Linked DNA regions of Canis lupus familiaris. The protein of the gene in region 1 purifies or fractionates together with the protein of each later gene. This does not show direct contact. Links are inferred from orthologs where the notes say so. Each region holds a gene or a part of one and is shown in the gene's direction. Other genes may lie near its edges. The genes, in order: RAB11A and EVI5.

The links.
Region 2: the proteins of RAB11A (region 1) and EVI5 purify together in Homo sapiens (co-immunoprecipitation; 3 studies listed by BioGRID and IntAct, with this or other methods). This does not show direct contact. The link is inferred for Canis lupus familiaris from reciprocal best matches to the Homo sapiens genes RAB11A and EVI5.

What each region holds. Positions count from the first base shown.
Region 1 is NC_049251.1:30,623,305-30,627,644, forward strand, and holds the start of RAB11A (ras-related protein Rab-11A), read left to right. Parts: upstream 1-1,450; 5' UTR 1,451-1,564; coding exon 1,565-1,604; intron 1,605-4,340. UniProt on the Homo sapiens protein: The small GTPases Rab are key regulators of intracellular membrane trafficking, from the formation of transport vesicles to their fusion with membranes.
Region 2 is NC_049227.1:56,869,858-56,873,670, forward strand, and holds part of EVI5 (ecotropic viral integration site 5 protein homolog), read left to right. Parts: intron 1-257; coding exon 258-416; intron 417-3,813. UniProt on the Homo sapiens protein: Functions as a regulator of cell cycle progression by stabilizing the FBXO5 protein and promoting cyclin-A accumulation during interphase. May play a role in cytokinesis.

The sequences.
Region 1 (4,340 bases):
GATTTGCAACTCTAATTCCACTATGTAACCCTAATTCCCTTTGGCCACATAATTTAACATATTCACAGTTACCAGGGATTGGGAAGTGGACAACTTCAGGAAACCATTATCCTGCTCAGCACAGGCACTCTTGCCCAAAAATCTAAATTGAAGGTTTGTATATAGGTGGTAGGGGGTATGGCAGCAAGTGGGAAAAACATTTTGTGATAATACACAACTCTTTTCTTTCTTTCTTTTCTTTCTTTCTTCCTTTCCTTTCCTTTCCTTTCCTTTCCTTTCCTTTCCTTTCCTTTCCTTTCCTTTCCTTTCCTTTCCTTTCCTTTCCTTTCCTTTCCTTTCCTTTCCTTTCCTTTCCTTTCCTTTCCTTTCCTTTCCACTCTTTTCAAATACAGGGAGGCTCTGCTGTGAGATCTTTGGCAAGTCACTTGAGTCTTAAGACTCCACATTTTTCGCTAAAATGAAAATTGCCACTGTTTGCTGTTCGTTACGTGAAATTATTATGGAGACGGGTTTAGCTTAGAGCATGACAAATTTGGGCAAAAAAGGGTTTAGCTTAAAGCATGACAAATAGGGCTCAAAAAGTTCTTGATGAATCTTGATGAGGAGGGTGGGCGAAGTTCTCTGAATGACATCTGGAGATAGTTTGAGAAATTTCCAGAGAAAAAAAAGAGTGAAAAGCGCCTGCCCTTGAATGAAGTTAGAGGTTGAAAATTGTAGCATAAAGGAATCAAGTTACATCGAAGCTGTTGAAGCTAGCTGGCTTCGACAAAGGCAAAGACCCAGATTTAAAAAAAAAAAAAGAAAAGAAAAGAAAAAAAAAGGCGAAGCGAAGAGGCTCCTTAGGAGACACCCAGGTGACAGTGGTTACAGATCCAAACGGCCTTTGTGGGCAAAGATTATCCTTTGAGAAATTCTGTCCCTGCTTCGTTCAAGGCCATACATATCGTAGTTGTATCACAATCACTTGGCGAATAAATAAATGAATTGAAGTATGGTCAGGAAAGGAAAAGCAGACCGCCGCAGGTTCCACCGAGATTTGAACTCGGATCGCTGGATTCAGAGTCCAGAGTGCTAACCATTACACCATGGAACCGCCACAAGCGCACGGGCGCCCTCTGCTCTCTAATTCTTAGAGACCCCGCCCCCCAACCACAGCCTCCCAACGCGCAGGCGCGGCTGACGGGCTTCCCAGCACCCCGCTTCCCCGCACGCCGGCGCGAGGATTGAGAGGGTGGCAAGCGGCGGCTCAGAGCTGGGACTCCAGAGCTGCATTCCCCACCTAAGCCTTTGGAGGGGGGAGGAGAATTGGGGGGAAGGGGGCAGAATTTGAAGACGGACACGACTCGGCCGCGCACCGCCCCTCCCGGGCTCGGGGGCGGAGCGTCGCCTCCCGGAAGTGCTTCCCCCGAGGGGCTGGGGCCGGCCGGAAGTGACGTAGCGGCAGGGAGGGGTTCTTTCCCCGGTCCGGCAGCTGAGGCTCGGCGCTCGGGTTACCCCTGCAGCGACGCCCCCTGGTCCCACCGGTACCGCTGCTGCTCCCGCCCCTTCGCTCCCCGGCCGCGCAATGGGCACCCGCGACGACGAGTACGACTATCTCTTCAAAGGTGAGGCCGTGGGCTGCCCCACTTTCCTCAGCGGGTCGGGGTCCGGGGGCCCCGGGGCACTCCCTTGGGGACCCGCGCGGGCCGGCGGTGCCCCGGAGCCGGCCTCCCTCCGCCCTTCCCGGCCGTGCGGTGCGCGCCGCGCTCTCCCCAGGTCGGGGCGCCCTCCGCGCACGCCGGGCTCGCAGCGACCCCCCTAGGCCCTCGCCTGCCTCCGCGCCCCCCACCCCGTGTCCTTCCACGGCGGGCCGCCGCCTCCAGCTCGCCTGCGCTTCCCGGGTCCGGTGCCCCTGGCGAGGGCCGCCCCTCCCACCCTGTCTTTTCGGGTTGGCGCCCCTCCCCCTCGGCGCCCCTGCCTGAGCCCCTGTGACCGGGCCTGCCCTCGCTCACCTTCCCGTAGGCGCACACTCCCACCACAGGCCCCCCACCTCTGCGCCCTGCTCCCCCCGGACCGGCGCCGCTCGGGCCCGCGCCAGGCCCCGGTCGGAATCCGAGCGGGCCGGGGGGTCCCCACCCCTCCCGCCCCCATAGCCCCCTTGGTCGGTTATAGCCTCGCACCGCCCCCCCCCCCGCACCCCCCGGGGCTGCTCGCTCTCTCCCTCCCTTTCCTCCCCCAAATAATCGGGACCTCTCCCGCGTCCCCCGTGCGACCCCGAGGGTGGGGGGCAGGGCAGGAGGGATTGCCCGTCACCCACGCGCGCACTTGTCGCAGTGACCCGACACACTGTTGGGACTTCCCATCTGGGCTTTTTTTTTTTTTTTTTTGTCTTTTTTCTTTTCCCTCCTCCTCTCCCTACCCAGCGGCAGCCAGCCCGGGATAACTCCAGACTGCGAGCGAGAAGGGGTTGCGGATGGGTGGTGGCTGTTATCCTTGCCAGACCTGAAGGCCCAGTTCCTGAGCAGGAAAGGTTGTGCGCTGCACAAATACTCGCCTGCTTTATCACTGTGGACGGGTTGCTTCCTGCTGCAACGCCGGGAGGATCCCGATCTTTTGGTGTTTTTAGAACAGGAAGGGAAAGAGTCCCACTTTTTAGCCACATAACCTTTCCCCGAAAGGTGGGGGGGGGGGCTAGGGGTACAGTTGTGTGCTCTTTGGTGGAATTTAATATGTATGGCGAGATCGGGAAACCTGTTAGTGCCCTTGGACAGAACATACCGGAGGGTGGGGAATGGATAGAAAGAATTGCTTATTGGTTACTCGGGAAAGAATCCCGGTAGTTGGTATCAACACAAATAAAGGGTACAGTGTTTAACCAGGAAGAGTACGGTAAATGCTCTTTTTTGTTTTGTTTTGTTTGTTTTGTTCGGTGATTGCGCTCTCGCTCAGATGCTCTTTCACTGCTCCTGAATTAGGGCAGCCATCAGTATAGTATGCTGAACAAAGATCATTACCAGAGAGGAAGAAGCCATTGCTATTAAGGCTTTACAGTGGAGGGTGGAGTTTTTTTTAAAAAGAGTGTTAAGCATGGTGATGGTTTCTGACCTTGCCATTGGGTGCTAAGAATGATTGACTGAAGGAAGCAGGAAACACTGCTTTACCAATACTTTGCAAATCTTACCACCACCTAACTCCTCTGGGCTACAATATTCTGTAAATATAGGGTGAGTACAGGGTTCATCCTTGCTCCCCCATAGTGAGTGGAAAGTCGTCTGCAGAGAAGAGCTTACTTAGTGCATTTTATAAATACAAAAAGGAAGCATGGGTTCTTTAGCATACTCTTTGCTGAGGGCATCTGAGGTCATGTGAAATTACTTAGGTGAGGCCCTAGAGACTGGTGTTTAGTCCTTAAAAGATTTCTTAAAATAAGGTACAAGGCAGTAAGCAGCTAGGTATCTTTGAAGTGATTTAGAACAAGATGGACTAGCAACTCACAAGTCTTTCTCCTGTTTGATGTGGAGCTTGACTGTTGTTTATAGAAATCATTCCCCACACCCCCACTAAGAATATTAGCTGTCCTGGATTGGTTTAAGGGATTTTAACTTAACTTTGGGATTAGACCATCCTAATAGTGATTGAGGGCAGAGAGCTTTGGAATCACGCAGGCTTGGATTCAGATTCTGACTCAGGTCTTAAACTTGCTTTGTGACCTTTGAGCCTCAGTTCCCTCATCTCTAAAAAGGAAATAATACCTATCTCTCAGAATTAAATGAGACTGGTTTTGAGGATTCAGTAAGTGATAATAATGTGAAGAAAGTTCTGTGGTTCTTGTCAGCTTTTTGAACCTTAAATCTTCACAAGAGCATTCAAGTATTATGAGAGAAATTTAAAAGTAGGAACTTTTAAAGTATTTTATGTTTCCATGGGTTATGTTTTCATTTTGTTGTACATTTTGCTTCTTAAGATTGGGTCTTAAAAAGATTTTGCTGAGAAGAATTTCCACTTTTTTAAAGCTCTTACAGGATATGAGTCACTTTTTTTTTTTTTTTTTTACTTTAGTGCTGATTAGTTAGCCAATTTTTTATTTATAGAGTTATATCTTAAAGCAAAGCAACAATAATCCATTTTAAACTAGTTTCATTCTTCAGAGGTTTATTCACTGAGATGAGGTAGGCCCTTCTACTTGTAAGATTGCTTACCTAGCACACCTTCACACTTTGAGGGAATTGGAAGTTAGTTTGTAACTCTAACCAGTTGAAAATGAAGGTATATTTTGATTCGTACAGGATAGAGTAGTCCAAATGGGAATGTAATGTGGGGAGAGAGCAGGACAATTATTCTGTGTTAGGCATTTGTTCTTG
Region 2 (3,813 bases), on another chromosome or scaffold:
ATATCTGAGCTTGTATTTCAGGTCTGCCACTTACTGGCTATATTGACCTTTCTGAAGTTACTTAATCATCATTTCCATTTTCTGACCTGTATAATGAAGATAATAGTACATAACTATTAAAGTTTTCTGGGGATTAAATAAAATAATGTATATATAGTGCTAAATATAGTACTGGACATGAAATAAGTTCCAGGAAAGTTAGCTCTTATTTTGATACTGGGAATATTTGTTGCAATATAATTTTTTCTGTCTTTTAGCGCCACTTAGCTCGTACTACTGGGAGATGGAAAGACCCACCTAAGAAAAATGCTGTAAATGAGTTACAGGATGAACTGATGACCATTCGACTTAGAGAAGCTGAAACTCAGGCAGAAATAAGAGAAATTAAACAAAGGATGATGGAAATGGAAACACAGGTATGATGGGAAAGCCCAGTACCTTTAAAAAATGGCCATTAGCATGGGACACCTGAGTAGCTCCATTGGTTAAACTTTGGACTCTTGATTTTGGCTCAGGTTATGACCTTAGGAGTACAGGTGTGGAGCCTTCTTAAGATTCTCCCCCCCCCCCCCCTTAAAAAAAAACATCATGAGCAGGTCAAAATCTATGCACAGGTTATATCATCTCTAGAATAGGTGTAGAATAGATATAAAAGATGGATATATGAAACTGTCTAGACTATAATTTCCTAGCCCAAATGAAAACCGCTAAAAATTGTAGTCTTTGATATCAGAGATTTTAATGTTTTCTTTGACCCAATCGGCAAAGTTTAAGCACGTCATAAAACTGTATTTAACTTGTTGCCTTATTGCACAAGTTGAGAGGAAATATTCATGTAGAGCAAAATTTCTCAACCTTGATTCTTAAGATTTTGAACCAGGTAATTCTTTATTTGGGGGACTGGCCTATGCATTGTAGGGTGTTTACCAGTATCGCTGTCCTCTACCCACTAGATCCAATTTCACTGTACTCCCCACCCCAGGTTGTGATGACCAAAAGCATCTCCACACATTGCCAAATGTCCTTAGGGGACATAATTGCTCCTGGTTGAGAATAATTGGCGTAGAATATAATGTGAATGATGCTTCCGTATGTGTAATGTGGTGACTCTGAGCAGTTAATTCCAAATTTATACTTCTTTTTTCTCAAGTCTCCCCTTTCTGTAATAAATTCTATCTTAAATATACTTGATTTAAGATCTGCAAAATTCTTTTAATGGAACTCACTTGCGTTATAAAGTATATTTAATTTTTATGTGGTACATTTGTGTGGACCATATTCTTTCTGTATTCTCTGTAATGTTAGTTGGTTTTCTAAGTACTTAGTCACTAGGGGGCATAGTTAACTCACGTATCATTCTGTATACCTATAGGTAAAATTGTCTGAACTTGAATATGGTCACACGAATCTGTAAATCCTTTAGGTTAAACAATATACCTTGTTTTACACTGTTCAAAGTTATTTTCTTGTATTTTTCATTATAATTAAAAATAACAGTAAAATTTTGAAAAGTAGAAATCTAGCTTCTGGGACACCTGGATGGCTCAGTGGTTGAGCATCTGTGTGCCTTTGGCTTATGGCATGATCCTGGGGTCCTGGGGTTGATTCCCACATTGGGCTTCCTGCATGGCGCCTGCTTCTCCCTCTGCCTGGGTCTCTGCCTCTCTGTGTCTCTCATGAATAAATGAATAAAATCTGAAAAAAAAAAAAAATAAAGAAATCTAGCTTTTGTATTGGGAAGTTTTATTTCATAAAAGATTTTTATCTCCTTGTACACACATTAAAGATGCAATACAGCCTATAAGCCTATATTCAGGGTTTTTATCGTTCTTTTTTTTTTTTAAAGACTTTATCTAATTTGAGAGAGAGATCATGAGAGCACACAAGCAGGGGGAGAGGGAAAGGGGAGAAGCAGGCCTCCCACCAAGCAGGGAGCCCAAGGCAGGCTCAATCCCAGGACCCGGGGGTCATGACCTGAGCAGAAGGCAAACGCTTAAATGACGGAGCCACCCAGGCACCCCTAGGTTTTATTTCAAAGTGGTGAACGAATCAAATTCACAAACATCGTTTTGAGAACTTTTGAATACAAACCACCGTCCAGCCATTAGAAAACTTAGCACATGGGAATCAGGCATGCACAAAATACATTTATTATAATTCACTATATTACATGATGGTTGTTAAATAATCATTTCACACTATATGTAAATCAAGTCATTATTCTGTATACCTTAGACTTACACAGCACTATATATATCAATTATATCTCAATAAAATTGGAAAATGTGTAATTTTGAAATTTGGTAATTAAAGAGTTCAATAGAGGGATCCCTGGGTGGCGCAGCGGTTTGGCGCCTGCCTTTGGCCCAGGGCGCGATCCTGGAGACCCGGGATCGAATCCCACGTCGGGCTCCCGGTGCATGGAGCCTGCTTCTCCCTCTGCCTCTCTCTCTCTCTCTCTCTGTGACTATCATAAATAAATAAAAATTAAAAAAATTAAAAAAAAAATAAAGAGTTCAATAGAAATTGCTATGGAAAATAGGAGGGGAAAATAAATTCCAACTAGAAAGTTTAGGGAAAAGCTTGAACAATTTGTACTTTGAATTGTACCTAAGAGTGATTTTGAATGGATTTTGCTGGAAGAGGAATGGCATAAGGCACTTTTTCCTAAATGCCAGTGCTCGAACTAGTGATGGTCCATACAGAGCATCCAGATTAAGAGATTTGTCCTTGTTGATACATGTAGTTTCAATTCCTTAATTTTAGAAAATTTTAGTGCCTTTTAGAAAATGCCGAGGAAGTACATCTTAGTTTATTGAACCACACTCTTCTTTCTGTGTGCCAGTTTTTGCTATTACAGATAGTGCTGTTCTGAACATTCTTGCACATATTTCCTAGTGGATAGCTCTAAGAGTTTCTTCAGGACAGAGTTTTTTTTTTTTTTTTTTTTTAATACCATAAACCTCTTTGGCAGTCTGGAGCCTCTGGACTCTTTCTCAAAAATAATGGTTTTTTAATGCATAAAGTAAAATACATAGGACTGCAAAGCAAACTAGTTATATTGAGGTACAGTTGTCAATATACAGGTACAGAGATGTACACAACGCATTCACATGGCTGGATTCAGGTTTTTAATATTTTGGATTTTTTTGTACCTAAGTTAAAATGTACAATTTTTCTTTTGGGGGAGGCTTTTACTAGTTTCAATAGAAAGGTTATAAAAAGCTCATGGAATTAATTGGATTGTATTTTATCTTTTTTTGTTATAGTTTATAAAATACTATCTAAGATTTGAATTACTTGTCACTTCAGTATTTACTGGAATCCATTCCTTTAAACAGTGTTATCTTTTTGTTTTGTTTTGTGTGAATAGTAACTATCAATCCTACTTACTGAAAAGTTACAAGTCTTTTCAGGTTTTCTGTTTTTTTGTCTTGAGTCTGGTTTGGTAAGTTAATGTTTCCCTTCCATTTCATCTAAATTTTCAAATTTATCACTTAGAGTTGTTCAGAGTAGTTTTTAAAGAAATATCCTTTCTTTCTACTGGATCAATATTTGTCTCTTTTTTCATTTCTAATAGTGTTTATTTGTGCCTGTGTATTTTCTTGGAAAGACACAGAAGTTGACCGTATTTTTTAGAAACTTGCCATTTTTAATATTTCTAAAGACTGGGGGCAAAAAAAAAAAAAAAAAAGGCTGGGGGCAGCCCGGGTGGCTCAGCTGTTTAGAGCCTGCCTTCGGCCCAGGGCATGATCCTGGAGTCCCAGGATCGAGTCCCATGTCGGGCTCCCTGCATGGAGCCTGCTTCTCCCT